Diceros bicornis minor: one gene and its partner. The protein of the gene in region 1 purifies or fractionates together with the protein of each later gene. This does not show direct contact. Links are inferred from orthologs where the notes say so. Each region holds a gene or a part of one and is shown in the gene's direction. Other genes may lie near its edges.

Region 1 (7,171 bases):
CCCTCCACTCACTCAGTATTTGCCACCCTTACTCTATTAAGAGAGCTGCATACAGAAGAACCTATGGAGAAGACATATGTAAATACAACTCAAAGGATAGAAAAGTTGACTGAAGGGAGGGAGAGAGCCATGAAAATTACGTGGAGGAAGAGTATTCCAGGTAGCAAGTGCAGAGGCCCTCAAGCAGGAGCATGCCAGATTGTTCCAGAAACAGCAAGGGGACCCGTGCAGCTGGAGCAGAGTGAGTGAAGGGAACATGGTAGGAGTCGAGGACGGAGAGTCAGTGAGTGGAGGGACAGATTATGCAGGTCTGTGTAGGCCAGTCTGAAGCCTCTGGCTTTTACTCTGAAATGAGAAGCCCCTGGGAAGTTTAAAGCAGAGACATGACCTGATGTGAAATATGTTAATTATGCTATGTTGAGACTAGACTGAGCGGGCCCAGGTGGAAGCAGGCAGGCCAGTTAGGAGGGTATTATAATATTCACAGCAAAAAATGATGGTGGCCTGGACCAAGGTGGGATGTGAGTGAGAGTGGTGGTGAGAAGTGGTGAGAGTCTGGATACATCTGGAAGAGCTGACATATTAGATGTATCCCATGAGAAAAAGAGAGGAGCCAAGAACAGCTGCAAAATTTTGACCTGAGCACCTAGAGAGATGGCGTTGCTGTTTACTGAGATGGGGAATACTTTGGAGTAGTTTGAGGAGGAAGATCAAAAGTTTAGGTGTAGACCTAGCTTTGAGACGCCTAGCAGACATCCAAGTGGAAGTGTGGGATAGGCAGAGGTACACATCTGGAGTTCAGAGAGGTCCAGACTGAGATAAGCATTGAGTCGTCATCAGCATACAGCACATGGTTTGAAACAAAGAAACTGGAAAAAGGGAAGAGTTCTGAAGACTGAATCCCAGAGCTCTGCAATGTTCAGAGGTCAAGGAGATGAAGAGGAACCAGCAAACAAATGATCTGCAAAGCAATGCAAAAAAAATTAGGACAAATTACTCGTAGAGAACATGTAATAGCTTGAACTTAGGTAGCATTCTCATATAACACATTCCATTTATTCTACTGATACATATTACAAAACGGTTCCTTATTCATTTAGTATTTCCAATGCCCATTAAGAATTCACAGGAACAGGCTTTTGACAGAATCTGTTTATACCTTCTGCAAACTGCATTTAGACCCAAAAACTATATTTGTTCTTAAGAGTTTGATTATTAGTTTCATTATGTTATCAGAAAATAAAGAAACTATTGTCTTTACTATGAAATATGTAAAAATAAAATGCAATAAAACGTTATTAATAACAAATTAAGATCTGCTAGAATCACAGATGTGATTACATGGAGTTCAGCTAGTAATGATTTACAAGTTTCTTTTGAGGCTAGATAAAAGAATGACCACTCTTCGGGAGAAAATGAAGTGGGAGGTACAGGAGCAAAGAAAGAAAGAAAGCAGAAAGGTGCTGAAAGTATATCAGCCTAGTTAGAGGCAAAGCTGGAGAATACTCTTAAAGGGAAATTATAATAATCGTTAGGAAGTAAGCCCCAAAATGTTAAAGGTGGAAGACTTCATTTAAGTCTTCTCTTCTCTTGTCCTTTTGGGGTAAAAAATGCTGTGGAAATCCAATAAGCATTGAGGGAAGGAAACTGGTTAAATAAATTATGGTGCAAGACAACAATGTGGAGTACTGTATAGCCATTAACAGTCATAATTGAGAAGCATACTTGATAACTCAGAAAAATGTTTACAGTATAGTGTTAAGAGAAAACAAGATTATATAACCATATGTAAAATACGTTAATTTTCAAAAATCTACATGCATAGAAAAACAACTTCAAGTATATGCAACAGTTGATGGGATAATAACAGATGATTTTATTTTCTTCTGGGTGATTTTTAAAATTTTCCAGGTTTTCTGTAATGGATAAGTATCTTGTAAAAAAAAAAAAAAACAAAGCGAAAACCTAGGAGCTGCTAAAAGGCTGGTGGACTTCAAAGCCCAGAGAATGAAATCAAAGCAATTTCATCTTTGATCCAAGGGCTGCTCTGTGTAGCTCTATAGGGGACAGGAAGGATTTTTCTTTGGTTAGGTTTGGTTATCATAAAACCAATATGGAGAAAAGAAGTTGAAAAAAGTCTGATCAGAAACCAACATAACAAAATATTAATATATTATTAAATTGGCAAAAACGTTTAAAATTTTAAGAGCCAGTACCCAGAAGGAAGTGGCAAAATATTATACACACACATATATCTTCTTATCTACTACAACCATTCATATCTATTAGTGTTGATGCATGTTAGCACATCTCTTTCTGAAAGCAACTCAGCAATATGGATGAAGAACCATAAAAGTGCATGTTCAGAACAGTACAGCTACTGTGGAAAACAGTTTGGCAGTTTCTTATAAAACTAAGCATACAACCACCATTTGACCCAACAATTGCACTTGCGGGCATTTATTCCAGAGAAATGAAAATTTATGTTTACACAAAAACCTGTATATGTATGTTTATAGCGGCTTCATTAGTAACAGCCCCAAACTGAAAACAACCCAGACGTCCTTCAAGGGTGAACTGATAAACAAACCACGGATATTCAGCAATAAAAGGAACAAACTATGGATACACGCAACAACTTGGATCATCTCCAGGGAATTATGCTGACTGAAAAAAGCAATCCCAAGAAGTCGTATACTGTATGATTCCACTTTTGAATGATTTCCACTTTTGAAATAGGAAAGTATAAAAATGAAGAACAGATTAGTGGTTGCCAGGGGTGAGTGAGAGGGAGGTGTGGCTGTAAAAGGTCATCTAGAGGGATCCTTGTAGTGATGGAAATGTCTTGCTTTTTGACTGTATCAATGTTAATATTCTGGCTGTGATATTGCACTAGAGTTTTGCAATATGTTACTATTGGGAGAAACTGAGTAAAGGGTATTTGGGATCTCTGCATTATTTCTCCCAACTGTGTGTGTATCCATAATAATATCAAAATAAAAAATTTACTTAAAAAAAAAGTATGTCTTCTTTTGTCCAGTTATCACAAATCTGGAAATCTGTCCTAGAAATATAACCCAAAAGAAGAAAAAACGTTAAATGCACCAGATGTTCACTACAACTGGAAAGAAACAATCTAAGTGTCATGACGTAGCCACTCGAGCACTACGCACTCGTTTGATGCAGCGACAAAGAAATGTTATTTGAAAGGACGGAATTCAAAATTGCGGTACAATATGATAGCTCTGTGAAGGGGACTGCAGTATATCACACAAGTTTTAACAGTAGTATTCTATGTGGATGGAATTGTAGCGGAAATGTTTTCCTTCCCTCGAACTTTCCCTCATGTTGTTAACGTGGTTTTCACATGGCTTGGAGGGTGGGGAGACTAACAGTAAAGAACATTCTTTATGTTAAATTACAAATGTCAGAGTCACGATAAAAGTTCTTTAAATTCCTCTCGCAGTAAAGCAAACTTCGTTTTTCTGGTTCCAAGCTTGGACCAAGAGCGCACCAAGGCCTGCAGTCATGAGCCCAGGGCGGGTATCACTGGGCACCCGACGCTGCGCCCACAGCCGACCGCAGGACGCCCCCAAGGGCCCAGGGAAGAGACCCCCAGCGAGGGCGAAGCCGCCGCCCAGAGCTGCGGTGACCACTCCAAGGTCACCATCGAGCCCGCAGCCGCGGCTCGGCCCGGCCCAGTTCCCCCTACTCTGAGTCGGGTCTTGCTCTCCGCCCCCACTTCTCGCCCCACGCGGAGCCGCGACCCCACTGATCTGCGGCTCCGCCGCAGAGAATCCCCGCATTGCGTCGGAGGGGTGGGGGCAAACGCCGCTAGACTCTGAGCTGGTCGCCTCCATCCCCGGCCCCGGGCCCGGGCCAAGCCCTCCGGGGTCTGCACCGTGGCGGAACCTAGACAGCGCCCGCTTCTTTTTTCGCCCTCTCAACCCAGCTTTTCCCGACTCCGGGAAGAACCGGGAAGAGAAGGCAGAGGGGCGCGCGGCGCCGCCGGATAAATACTGTGGCCCGGCCCCGCCCCCCGACCTCACTTCCGCCCGGCGGCAAGATGGCGGCGCTCGGACCCTGCCACGCAGACTTCCGCCTGGCGCCGGGGCCGAGGTCCGGCTGCGGGCCGCGTTGGAGGTGAAGTCTGGGCGCGCGTGGTGCGGACCGCAGCCCGGGTGCGTCCCTGCTGCTTTCTGGCCGGGGGCCTGGGGAGAGCGAGCCAAGCGCTCTGGCCGGGGAGGTCCGAGGAGTCTCGCCACGTGGGAGGGGAGGAGCAGGGACGCTGCGGGAGGGACGCACTGACGGGGGGCGGGAGGCGATGTGGGTGCGGTTCCGCCCTGGGTCCGCGTGGCCGCCCCCTCGAGTGACTCCATGGCCCCTTTCCCCCCTCTCTTCCAGGCAAGATGTCAGAAGGAAACGCCGCGGGCGAGCCCAGCGCTCCGGGAGGGCCGCGACCCCTCCTCTCGGGGGCCCGGGGGCTTATCGGGCGGCGGCCGGCGCCTCCCCTCAGCCCGGGCCGCCTTCCCTCCATCCGCTCCAGGGACCTCACCCTCGGGGGAGTCAAAAAGGTACCCGACGGCACCTTTCAAAAGAAACCCGACTACCTTGAGTTCCAGGCCCCCGGGGTCCAAATAATGTTCATGGACTTTCATGGAGGGCCTACCGCGTGCCAGGCGTGGTGTTGGGCCCCACGAATCTCGTCGCCAGATGCCGCCTACAAATTCTGGGAGCCTGACCTACCTTTAAGTTTAGATACTGGGTACAAGATGTTGACATGGTTCTCGGAGATGGCTGAAGGGCAGAGAATCCTAATTAGTTTAAAAGCAACATGAGCAGTCTTTATTTACTTTTTGTGTGTGTTTTGGACACCATTAAAACCTATGTAAGCCTCGGTGGCATAATACATTTTGCCTGCAGATTTAGAGAGTTCTGAATTCGCTATGGATCCCAGTGTGCCAACCGCTGTCCTAGAGTATGGTGATTCCTAGGCGTGGCATTAGAGGCTCTGTGTCTTCTCCTGTTATGTTGACGACTGTAGATGTAAAGGGTGGCCCTGAAAGGGGGTAGGGAATGACAGAAGTGTAGCTCAGCCAGTTTTGAAAGGCTTAACTCTGCCTTGGGGAATTCTGGTGGCAGTCTAACCCTGTCTGCGGGTGCTGGCAGATCTGTCTTCCCTACTTGAGCCTTGCTGCTAGAGATCTTTGCCTATGATACTGACTGGTCTCTATAGCAGTTTGAAAACAGGAGGTGAGACTAGATAAGTTACTTTGCTTTTAGAAGTCCTGAGGGCTCTCCTTTCAGAGGACAGAAGCTGAGGCTGTTAGTTTAAATGGGTTTTGGTGCCCCTTGCTTCTGTGTGTAACTCCATTGCCACCATGACATGACGTTCCTCCTTTTCAAGCACATGTCTATCTCTGTAAATCTTTGGCAACGGTGTGGAATGTGCAGAAGAGAGCCATGGTGGTCTTGGTCCATAGAAGATGCCTTTGGGAGTTTTTCTTTTCCTCTATACTTTGAAATCAGAACTTACCAAATCAGTGATTCCTGTATTTTACTTTCAGAAAACCTTCACCCCGAATATCATCAGTCGGAAGATCAAGGAGGAGTAAGTAGCCAGGTCTTCTGAATACTCACCCTTTATTTACTTGCTCTGAATTTGGGCCTTTGGGGAAATAACTAGGTATGTGCCTCAGAAATTTAAATTTGTGTATTTAGTTCTTATCACTAGTGATTTTCAACCTAGGCTACCAGATAATTCTAATGTGCAAGCTTTACAAAAATACTGATGCCTGGGAGTCCATCCCTATAAATTGTGATTTAACTTAGTTGCAATGAGACAAAGTGAATATCTTTTACAGCCAGAGTTGAGAACCACTAGTTTAGACAAAGGTGTATCATGTTTTCCCTTAAGTTCTTTTGCATCACAGCCTTCCTGCTTTCAGTCAATACCAAAAAATCCGCATTTGGGGACAGTCTCTATAATTCAACTTTTGAGTTATAGTTCTAATATGTATTCTCAAACAAGAAGGTAAAGTAAAGCAAACTGAAAGAGATCTGCCCCATCAAGGAAGTGAAACAGGTGCTAGATTTAGGATTGGATTCTGCTTCTCATGATGTAGTTATTGGGGCATAAACTCTCCACTCAAGTGCAGTGGTGTGGGAGAGTAAAACCACTTCTCTGAGGCAGGGTAACTGAGTGGTTTTTCTTAATCCATTCTCTTTTCCAGGCCCAAGGAAGAAGTAACCATCAAGAAGGAGAAGCGTGAAAGAGAGAGAGACCGACAGCGAGAGGGGCATGGCCGGGGCCGGGGGCGCCCAGAAGTGATCCAGTCCCACTCTATCTTTGAGCAGGGCCCAGCTGAAATGATGAAGAAAAAGGGTACAAAGCTGCCAGGGCTCTGGGAGGAAGGAATGGTGGATTTCAGTTCAGACTGTCCAAGAAAAGGGCAAGGGCAGAATTCCCCTGCTCCCAGTTTAGTTTTCCTTGCTGTTGGCCTCTTCCTTACCCCTGGTGAACTGGGTGATCTCCCACAGGGAACTGGGATAAGACAGTGGATGTGTCGGACATGGGGCCCTCTCATATCATCAACATCAAAAAAGAGAAGAGGGAGACGGATGAAGAAACAAAACAGATCTTGCGCATGCTGGAGAAGGATGATGTAGGTACCAGCAGGCTGGGGGGAGGGGGCTTCTTTGTGGCTGTGAAAAAGGGCTTCAGGGAGCCAGGGTCGCAGGAGGAAGAGCTCTCTGATGTCCTGGAAGCCTGGTAAGCAGCAGGAAGCTTCGGTTAGAAAGGGCTAAGATGCGGGCCAGCCCGGTGTGCAGCAGTTAAGTGCGTGCGCTTTGCTTTGGCAGCCCTAGGGTTCACAGGTTCGGATCCCAGGTGCACACCGATGCACCGCTTGTCAAGCCATGCTGTGGCAGCGTCACATATAAAGTAGAGGAAGATGGGCACGGATGTTAGCCCAGGGCCAATCTTCCTCGGCAAAAAGAGGAGGATTGGCATTAGATGTCAGCTCAGGGCTGATCTTCCTCACGCACAAAAAAAGGGCTAAGGTGGACTGCAATCCAGGTACATGTGCATGCTGGCCAGGCTGTGTGACCCCTTGACTCTTCTTTGGCAGTTCATTGATGACCCTGGGCTGAGGAATGATACTCGAAACAT
Region 2 (7,138 bases), on another chromosome or scaffold:
GTATTTTGCTATCCTTTTGTTCATTCAAATAACACATATTTACAAGCCCTGACCATCTGCCAGGCACAAGGCTAGGCCAAGACGATGTGGAGGGACATGACAGAGAAGTCCTGTGCTGTCGAGGAGCTTGCAGACTAAGTCTTTGTGTGTTTTTGTAAGCCACCTCACTTCCAGGGAATGATGCAGACAGTTAATAAAGAAGGCTGGTCCCTGTTTTTACTAATGAGGAAACCGAACATGCCAACAACTCCCTGTCGCAATCGTGTGAGCCGAATACTGTAAAAGAAGCCTGGGAACCCCAAACACTGAACTCTGCGATGCTGGCCCCCTCCCCCAGCCTGGCCCTCCTCCAGTTTCCCATCTCAGTGAAAGGCCCACCACCCAGCCAGTGGCTACAGCTCTCAGCGCTGGCTCCTTCCACTTCCATCCCCAGGTTATCCACCCTGTCACTGAGACCATCCCCTGGAGACCTCTGGACTCTGCCCAACTTTGCTCTCCACGCCTACCAGGAGAGTAGGCTACCAAGAGTAGGCTCGCTCAGGCCTACTCTTACAGGACCCACCCAATAACGTCCTTCTTGGTCTTCTTGTCTTCATCCCAGCCCCTTCCCGTCCACTGTCCATCCAGCTGATGTGTCACTGTGTCATTTCCCTGTTCTAACCTTGGAAGGCTTCCCTTTGCTGACCTCGGGCTAATGTTGTGGCACGACCCAGTGTTTAGGAGGATCATGGGCTCTGGAGCCTGAATCCCAGCTCTGCCACTAATTAGCTGTGTGACCTTGAATGACCTACTTAACCTCTCTTTGCTTTAAATGAGGTGAAATGAGATAATGAGATAAATGAGAATGATAAATGATAATGAGACAAATTAGCTAATGATAATAATAGCCCCCACCTTATATAGCTGTTGTGAGCATTAAAAGTTAATGAATATTATAATGATAAGGCCCTTAGGGCTGGCCTCACGGCTTAGCGGTTAAGTTCATGCGCTTCCATACTGGCAGCCCGGGTTCGGATCCCAGGTGTGCACCAACGCACCGCTTCTCCGGCCATGCTGAGGCCGCGTCCCACATACAGCAACTAGAAGGATGTGCAACTGTGACGTACAACTATCTACTGGGGCTTTGGGGAAAAAAAAAATTAAAAAGAAAAAAAGGCCCTTGGGATCTGGATCCTGCTTAGGTCTCCAGTTTCACCAATTCACATCTCCCCTATAAATCAGCTAAAATACTTTTGATTCCCTGAGAGTGTCAAATTCTCTCTCTCTCTCTGTCCTCTCCCCAACCCCTCTGAGCTGAAGCTGGGCCGGGACCAGTTCTTCTTCCCCATTGAATCTCTAACAGCTGGGCACATGGTATGTTGAATGAATGAATGAAAGAATGTGAAAATGAATGATTGAATTTGGGTTCTGATGGATGAGTAGGAGTTTTCCAGGTAAAAAAGTGTTCAAGGCAGGGCTATAAAAGGGCTTGCTCTATCTGAAGCTTGGTACCTGTGGGGTTACTGTAAATATTCAATAAGAACGTGATTACCATGGGCCGGACCCGTGGCTTAGCGGTTAAGTGCGCACGCTCTGCTGCTGGCGGCCCGGGTTCGGATCCCGGGCGCGCACCGACGCACCGCTTCTCCGGCCATGCTGAGGCTGCATCCCACATGCAGCAACTAGAAGGATGTGCAACTATGACATACGACTATCTACTGGGGCTTTGGGGAAATAAATAAACAAAAAAAAATCATTAAAAAAAAAAGAACGTGATTACCAGGGCCGGCCCAGTGGCGTAGTGGTTAAGTGTGCATGCTCCGCTTCAGTGGCCCGAGGGTTCGCGGGTTCGGATCCCGGGTGCGCACTGACCCACCGCTCATCAAGCCATGCTGTGGCGGCATCCTGTATAAGGTAGAGGAAGATGGGCACGGATGTTAGCCCAGGGCCGATCTTCTTCGGCAAAAAGAGGAGGCTTGGCATCGGATGTTAGCTCAGGGCTGATCTTCCTCACACTCACATGAAAAAGAACATGATTACCTTTTGACCTTGTTCCCAACACAGACACAGATGAAAAGAAGTTAATATTGTCAATTTGCTGTCTTCTTGTTTAACCTGAGGGGTAATTCAAGGGTCACAAGGGTTTTTGAGCTTCTTTTACAGAAGAAAGAGAATGGTTCAAAGATCACCAGATAACCAGCCCCCCAGCTGCCGTTGACGCCCAGAAGTCAGATTGCCCAGGGGCTTATCTGAAGTGAAAGAAACACGGATTACCCTTTTGTTTCTCTGAAACTCCTCCTCCCCAGCCCCCTGCTTTCTTCTCTTGTTAAGGCGTATTTGAGAGACTCTATACTCCTGTCTTCTCATTTTGGCCAATTCGAATAAACCTTTCTCCATCTCTAAGCACAAACGCCTCAGTGATCGGCTTACTGCGCACTGGGCACACAAATTTGAGATTAAGCAGTTTGGTATCACACACTCAGGGCTGGAGGCTCCCAGTGTCTGGAGGACAGAAGGAAAGTGAGGCTGGAGAGGAAGGCTGCGTTCAGTCTAGACCTTTCTGTGACAGTGTGGAGGTTGCTTGCAGGAGAGACTGAGACCAGGAGCTGGGGTGTGTGGATAAACTTCAGAGGAGCAATGAAGAAGCCCCAACCAGGGCAGTAGCAGCGGGAATGAAATGAAGAGGGAGGATTTGAGAGATATTTGAGAGAAATAATTTATATAATCTCCTAAACACTTTTACCAAATGCCTCCTAAGAATGATGTTAGGGGATTGTGGGAATAAAAAGCTGAAGTAGCACTTTCTCTTGTCATCAAGTAGCTGAAATCCTAGGAGAGAGAGATAAACGTATAAATAAAAATATAGATGCAGGGAAGGCCAAATTCAGTATTACTACAGCCAGTCTCATGGAGAGATCTCTGTAAAGAGATCAGCAAATTAAAGCACTATGCATTTCTGAGTGTCTCTGTCATCTACGCAAACCTCTCTTTTTTTTTTTTTTTTTTTTTTGTGAGGAAGATCTGCCCTGTGCTAACATCTGCCAATCCTCCTTTTTTTTGCTGAGGAAGACTGGCCCTGGGCTAACATCCGTGCCCATCTTCCAACACTTTATACAGGATGCTGCCACAGCATGGCTTGCTGCCACAGCATGGCTTGCCAAGTGGTGCGTTGCTGCGAGCTGGGGGTCTGAGCCGGCGAACCACGGGCTGCCGCATCTGAGCGCACGCATTTAACCGCTTGCGCCACCGGGCCGCCCCCCCCAACCTCTTTTTAAGTTTTCAAATTTTTATTTGGTTAAAACACACTACCTAGAGGCAGTGTGGTGTTGAGGTTTAGACAGGGCCCACTTCTATCACTTAGCAGCCCGTGATTTTGGACAAGTTATTGAATTCTCTCAGCCCATGTTAGCTATCATATGAAGATGAATGGTACTGGAACATGGGGGAGAGAGAACAAGATGGGGCTGGAGGCCTGGGTAGCGGCAGGGCAGATCCTGCAGGGCCTTGTGAGCTACCACAAAGGTTTTGGACTTTATTATTAGTTCAGTGAGAAGCCACCGAGGTTGTGTTTTGTGCCAATTTATTATCACTTTTCAATTGAGATGTAATCTGCCTACGATTAAATGTGAAGATCTTAAGTGTTGAATTCAATGAGGTTTCAAAATTGTATACAACTGCGTAAGAAAATACAAAATATTTCTATCACCGCAGAAAGGCCCCGCCTGCCCCTTTCCAGTCAATTCTGCCCGTCTCCAGAGTACTGAAAGGTCTAAGCCGATTGTGTTTGCGTTTTCAAAGGATCACTCTGGCTGCGGCGCACGGGACGGCCTGGACCAGCAACAAGAGAATGTCACAGGCCAGACGAGAGATGACCGGATTGCCCCGAGGTCGCCTAGCAACCAGAAAGTGTTGTCTGTGGGTTGACCGCTCCGCGAGGGCGGAAAGGGGAAGACCCGCCCCACCCAGGCCCCGCCCACCACGCTCCGCCAAGAGCCAGTAGGCAGCCCCGCCCCGCGCGAGGGGGCGGGCAGAGGTTTCTTATTGGTCGGTTCTCCGGAAGCGACGGGATTCGTAATCTCGGGGAAAGTCTCGCCGCTGCCGGCTGCGTGTGGGTGCGCGGTGCGTGGTGGCGGCGCGTGGCGAGTGGCCCTGTGGCGCGTGGCGGGCAGGGGCGGGGCCGCGCGTCCCCGCGCTGGACCGACGGGACCTCCCGTGAGCCTCAGTTTCCTCTCTTTGCAGTAGCGGAGCATGCTGCGCCCGGGGTATTCCACGCTCTACCGTGCAGCTGCGCTACCGGTCTGGGGTGGGGGGCCTCAGCGATTGGGACGGGACGGAGGGGGCTCGGGGATCCTCACCGCCCCAGGCCCCGGTGCGTGACTGACCCTCCCGTTCCCAGAGCGCCCAGCGCAGGCCGCGATGTTCGTCCTGGTGGAGATGGTGGACACCGTGCGGATCCCCCCGTGGCAGTTTGAGAGGAAGCTCAACGACTCCATTGCCGAGGAGCTGAACAAGAAGTTGGCCAACAAGGTACTGGGCCCACGGGGTAGCGGGCAGGCCCTGGCACGGGAGGGCCCAACGCTGCCCACCTGCCCGCTTCAGGCCTGGCCTTGGTCATGTCAAGCCTTGGCCTTGAGCAAGTAGCTTAACGTCTCAGAACACGGTTTCCTCACCCGTGCGTGGGATGGGGGTAATCCTTACCCACAAGGGTGTTGGAGGGAATCAAAAGAGAAATTGGGTTTGAAAAAGGCCGTTGTAACTGAGAGGTGCTAGATTCCACACTTAGAGATTACTTTGCAATCTTAGGCAAGTCATTTACCCCCTCTGGGCCTCAGTTTCCATTTGTAAAATGGAAATAAAAATTGCTGTCCAACCATGCCTTGTTTTTGTGAAGATGGAGGGTAGTTTAGAGTTAACCAATAGGAGATTTATCCATTCATTCCTGCAAAAAAATATTTGTGCACCCTCTATGTGCCAGGCCTGCACACCCTACTGCCAGCTCGTCAGAGGCCTTGCCACTGCCTTTTCTGTCGTCAGCCTCCCTCCTCAGTTATTCTGTGCCATGTTACTCTTTCCTTCTTTGCACTTATACACTCTATGTTCTTATTTGTTGATTTGGTTATTGTTTTTCTCTTTCCTCTGCATTTGTTTATTTGGTTATTGTTTTTCTCTTTCCTCTGCATGAGGGTAGAGACCTTTCCCCACAGTATTCCCCATATTTAGGCAGAGCCTGGCACAGAGTAGATGTTCCATGATTGTCTGTTGATCGAGTGAATGAAACAGACAAGATTCTGCCCTGTAGTGTGGTGGGAGAGCAGATGTGAATGAGAGGGTCCCACAGTTGAGCGCATGATGACAAGTAGAGGTAAATGCTGCAAAAGATAGGTATCCACAAGCCTGTGGAACGAAGAAACTTCACCTACGATGAGGGAGACAAGTGGCTTTGTTAGGGAGGTGGCACTTGTGCTTGAGCTGAGATCTGATGGAAAAACTAACTAGGGAATTCATTTTTGGGGGGTGGGAGGAGGCTGGGCAGAGAGAAGAGCTGTGCAAGCAGAGGAAACAGCATGTGCAAAGGCCCTGTGGCAGGAGGAACTATTACACCATCACAGCATGGTGGAGGCTGGTGTGCCCTGGGCAGAGGGAGAGAGGGGAGGGCAGGCTGGAAGGGTGGCAGGAGCCAGGCTGCACAGGGCCTGCAGGACTTCATGGGAGTATTGGTCTTCATCCATAGAACAGTGGGAGGTGATAGGCTGAGAAGGAGCCAGCAGGAGGAAGATTGGCTGTCTTTCTACAGGAGGCAGGTCCCTTCCATAGAAGCTGAGGTCACAGAAGGAGGGTGTCCAGATCTGGGGAGTTGTTGGTGGGGAGAACTCACGGAGTCCTTAGTGGATGGCTTCTGGTAACTTTGTGAGGTAGAAGGCGAGGGGTCTGTGGGGAGATGAAGTGTGAACATTGTGGAGAGAGAAGGTGTGAAGAGTCCAGGAAGGGAATGCAGTCCCTTTGGGGCACAGGTCCTTCAGTGACCTCTTCAGACAAGTCTTCCTGTATTTGAGTTACTGAGTCACTGAGAGGAGGCCACACAGAAGAGGCCTATGGTCCAGCCAGGCTCTGTGCCTCATCGCTGTGATGTCTGGCCAGGACTCCGAGTTCCCTGAGCTTCTTGCTAATCCTTGAATGGTCCTGCAAGGTCTCTGATTGGGAGGTGATGACACTGGTGGCAGATAAGCAGACACCAAGTGGACAGTTGTTTAGAGCACCGTGGGGTGGGGATGGGGCATGGGCTCTTCTCTGCCCAGTCTCAGGGCCTTGGCCATGTGTCACTCTTCCAGCCTCAGTCCCTGTGGCCACATCTGTGTGAGCAGAATGGAGATCAGCTGTGGTTCTGACGCTCACTGGGCTGTGGGCTCCAGTAGGGACTTGGGGACGTTGGAAAGTGTAGTTTAACCAGGCTTCCCCTACTACTGATCTGTACTAGTAACAGTAGTGATCCTTGATCGGTGATTATTATTTCTAGTACGTGAGCCAGGTACTGGGCTAGGGGCTTCACATCCGTTCTCCCTCTTTATTTAACAACCCTGCAGCCTGGTTTGTCCATTTTTGCAGATGAGGAAACTGAGGCTCAGAGAAGGACCTTGGAGGTCACACAGTAAGTGGTGGAGCTGGCACTGTGAGCTGGATCTGCCTTGTCAGAAAAGGCCCTGCTCTTCCCAGAGCTCTGCATCCTTCCAGGGTTTCTTCCCCGTGGTCACCTCAGGCAGTGTCCCAGCTCACTTCCCACTGTAGAACGGGGATAGCCAGACCTGCTATGTGGTGGTGACAGTCTCAGGAGAGACGCCTGGGAGCTGGGCCTCGGGGTCACTGTGTATGTGCGTACACGGACGCACACAGGTTGTGTACAACGTGGGACTCTGCATCTGTCTGTTCGACATCACCAAGCTGGAGGACGCCTACGTGTTCCCGGGGGACGGCGCGTCACACACCAAAGGTGGGTGCCCTCTCCTCCTGGGGCATTGGGTTTCTTGGGGCTCAGTTTTCGGTGGTGAGAGTCCTGGTCTGGGTGTTGGGAGACCTGAGGCCTAGTCCTAACTCTGCCAGGAATTGACTGGGTGATAATGGGCAGAATCCTCCCTTCTCTGGGCCTCGGTTTCCCATCTCTAAG

What was found. Proteins that work in one complex are often made in the same cells at the same time.
Region 2: the proteins of POLR3D (region 1) and POLR3H purify together in Homo sapiens (affinity purification with mass spectrometry; 6 studies listed by BioGRID and IntAct, counting the BioPlex papers as one, with this or other methods). This does not show direct contact. The link is inferred for Diceros bicornis minor from reciprocal best matches to the Homo sapiens genes POLR3D and POLR3H.

What each region holds. Positions count from the first base shown.
Region 1 is NC_080750.1:71,627,088-71,634,258, reverse strand, and holds the start of POLR3D (DNA-directed RNA polymerase III subunit RPC4), read left to right. Parts: upstream 1-4,092; 5' UTR 4,093-4,181; intron 4,182-4,404; 5' UTR 4,405-4,409; coding exon 4,410-4,574; intron 4,575-5,567; coding exon 5,568-5,611; intron 5,612-6,233; coding exon 6,234-6,385; intron 6,386-6,540; coding exon 6,541-6,665; intron 6,666-7,130; coding exon 7,131-7,171. UniProt on the Homo sapiens protein: DNA-dependent RNA polymerase catalyzes the transcription of DNA into RNA using the four ribonucleoside triphosphates as substrates.
Region 2 is NC_080764.1:8,900,698-8,907,835, forward strand, and holds the start of POLR3H (DNA-directed RNA polymerase III subunit RPC8), read left to right. Parts: upstream 1-4,229; 5' UTR 4,230-4,241; intron 4,242-4,375; 5' UTR 4,376-4,395; coding exon 4,396-4,506; intron 4,507-6,582; exon of another isoform or gene 6,583-6,843; coding exon of another isoform or gene 6,844-6,867; coding exon 6,868-6,964; intron 6,965-7,138. Other genes in the region: CSDC2 (cold shock domain-containing protein C2), read right to left, coding at 3,942-4,229.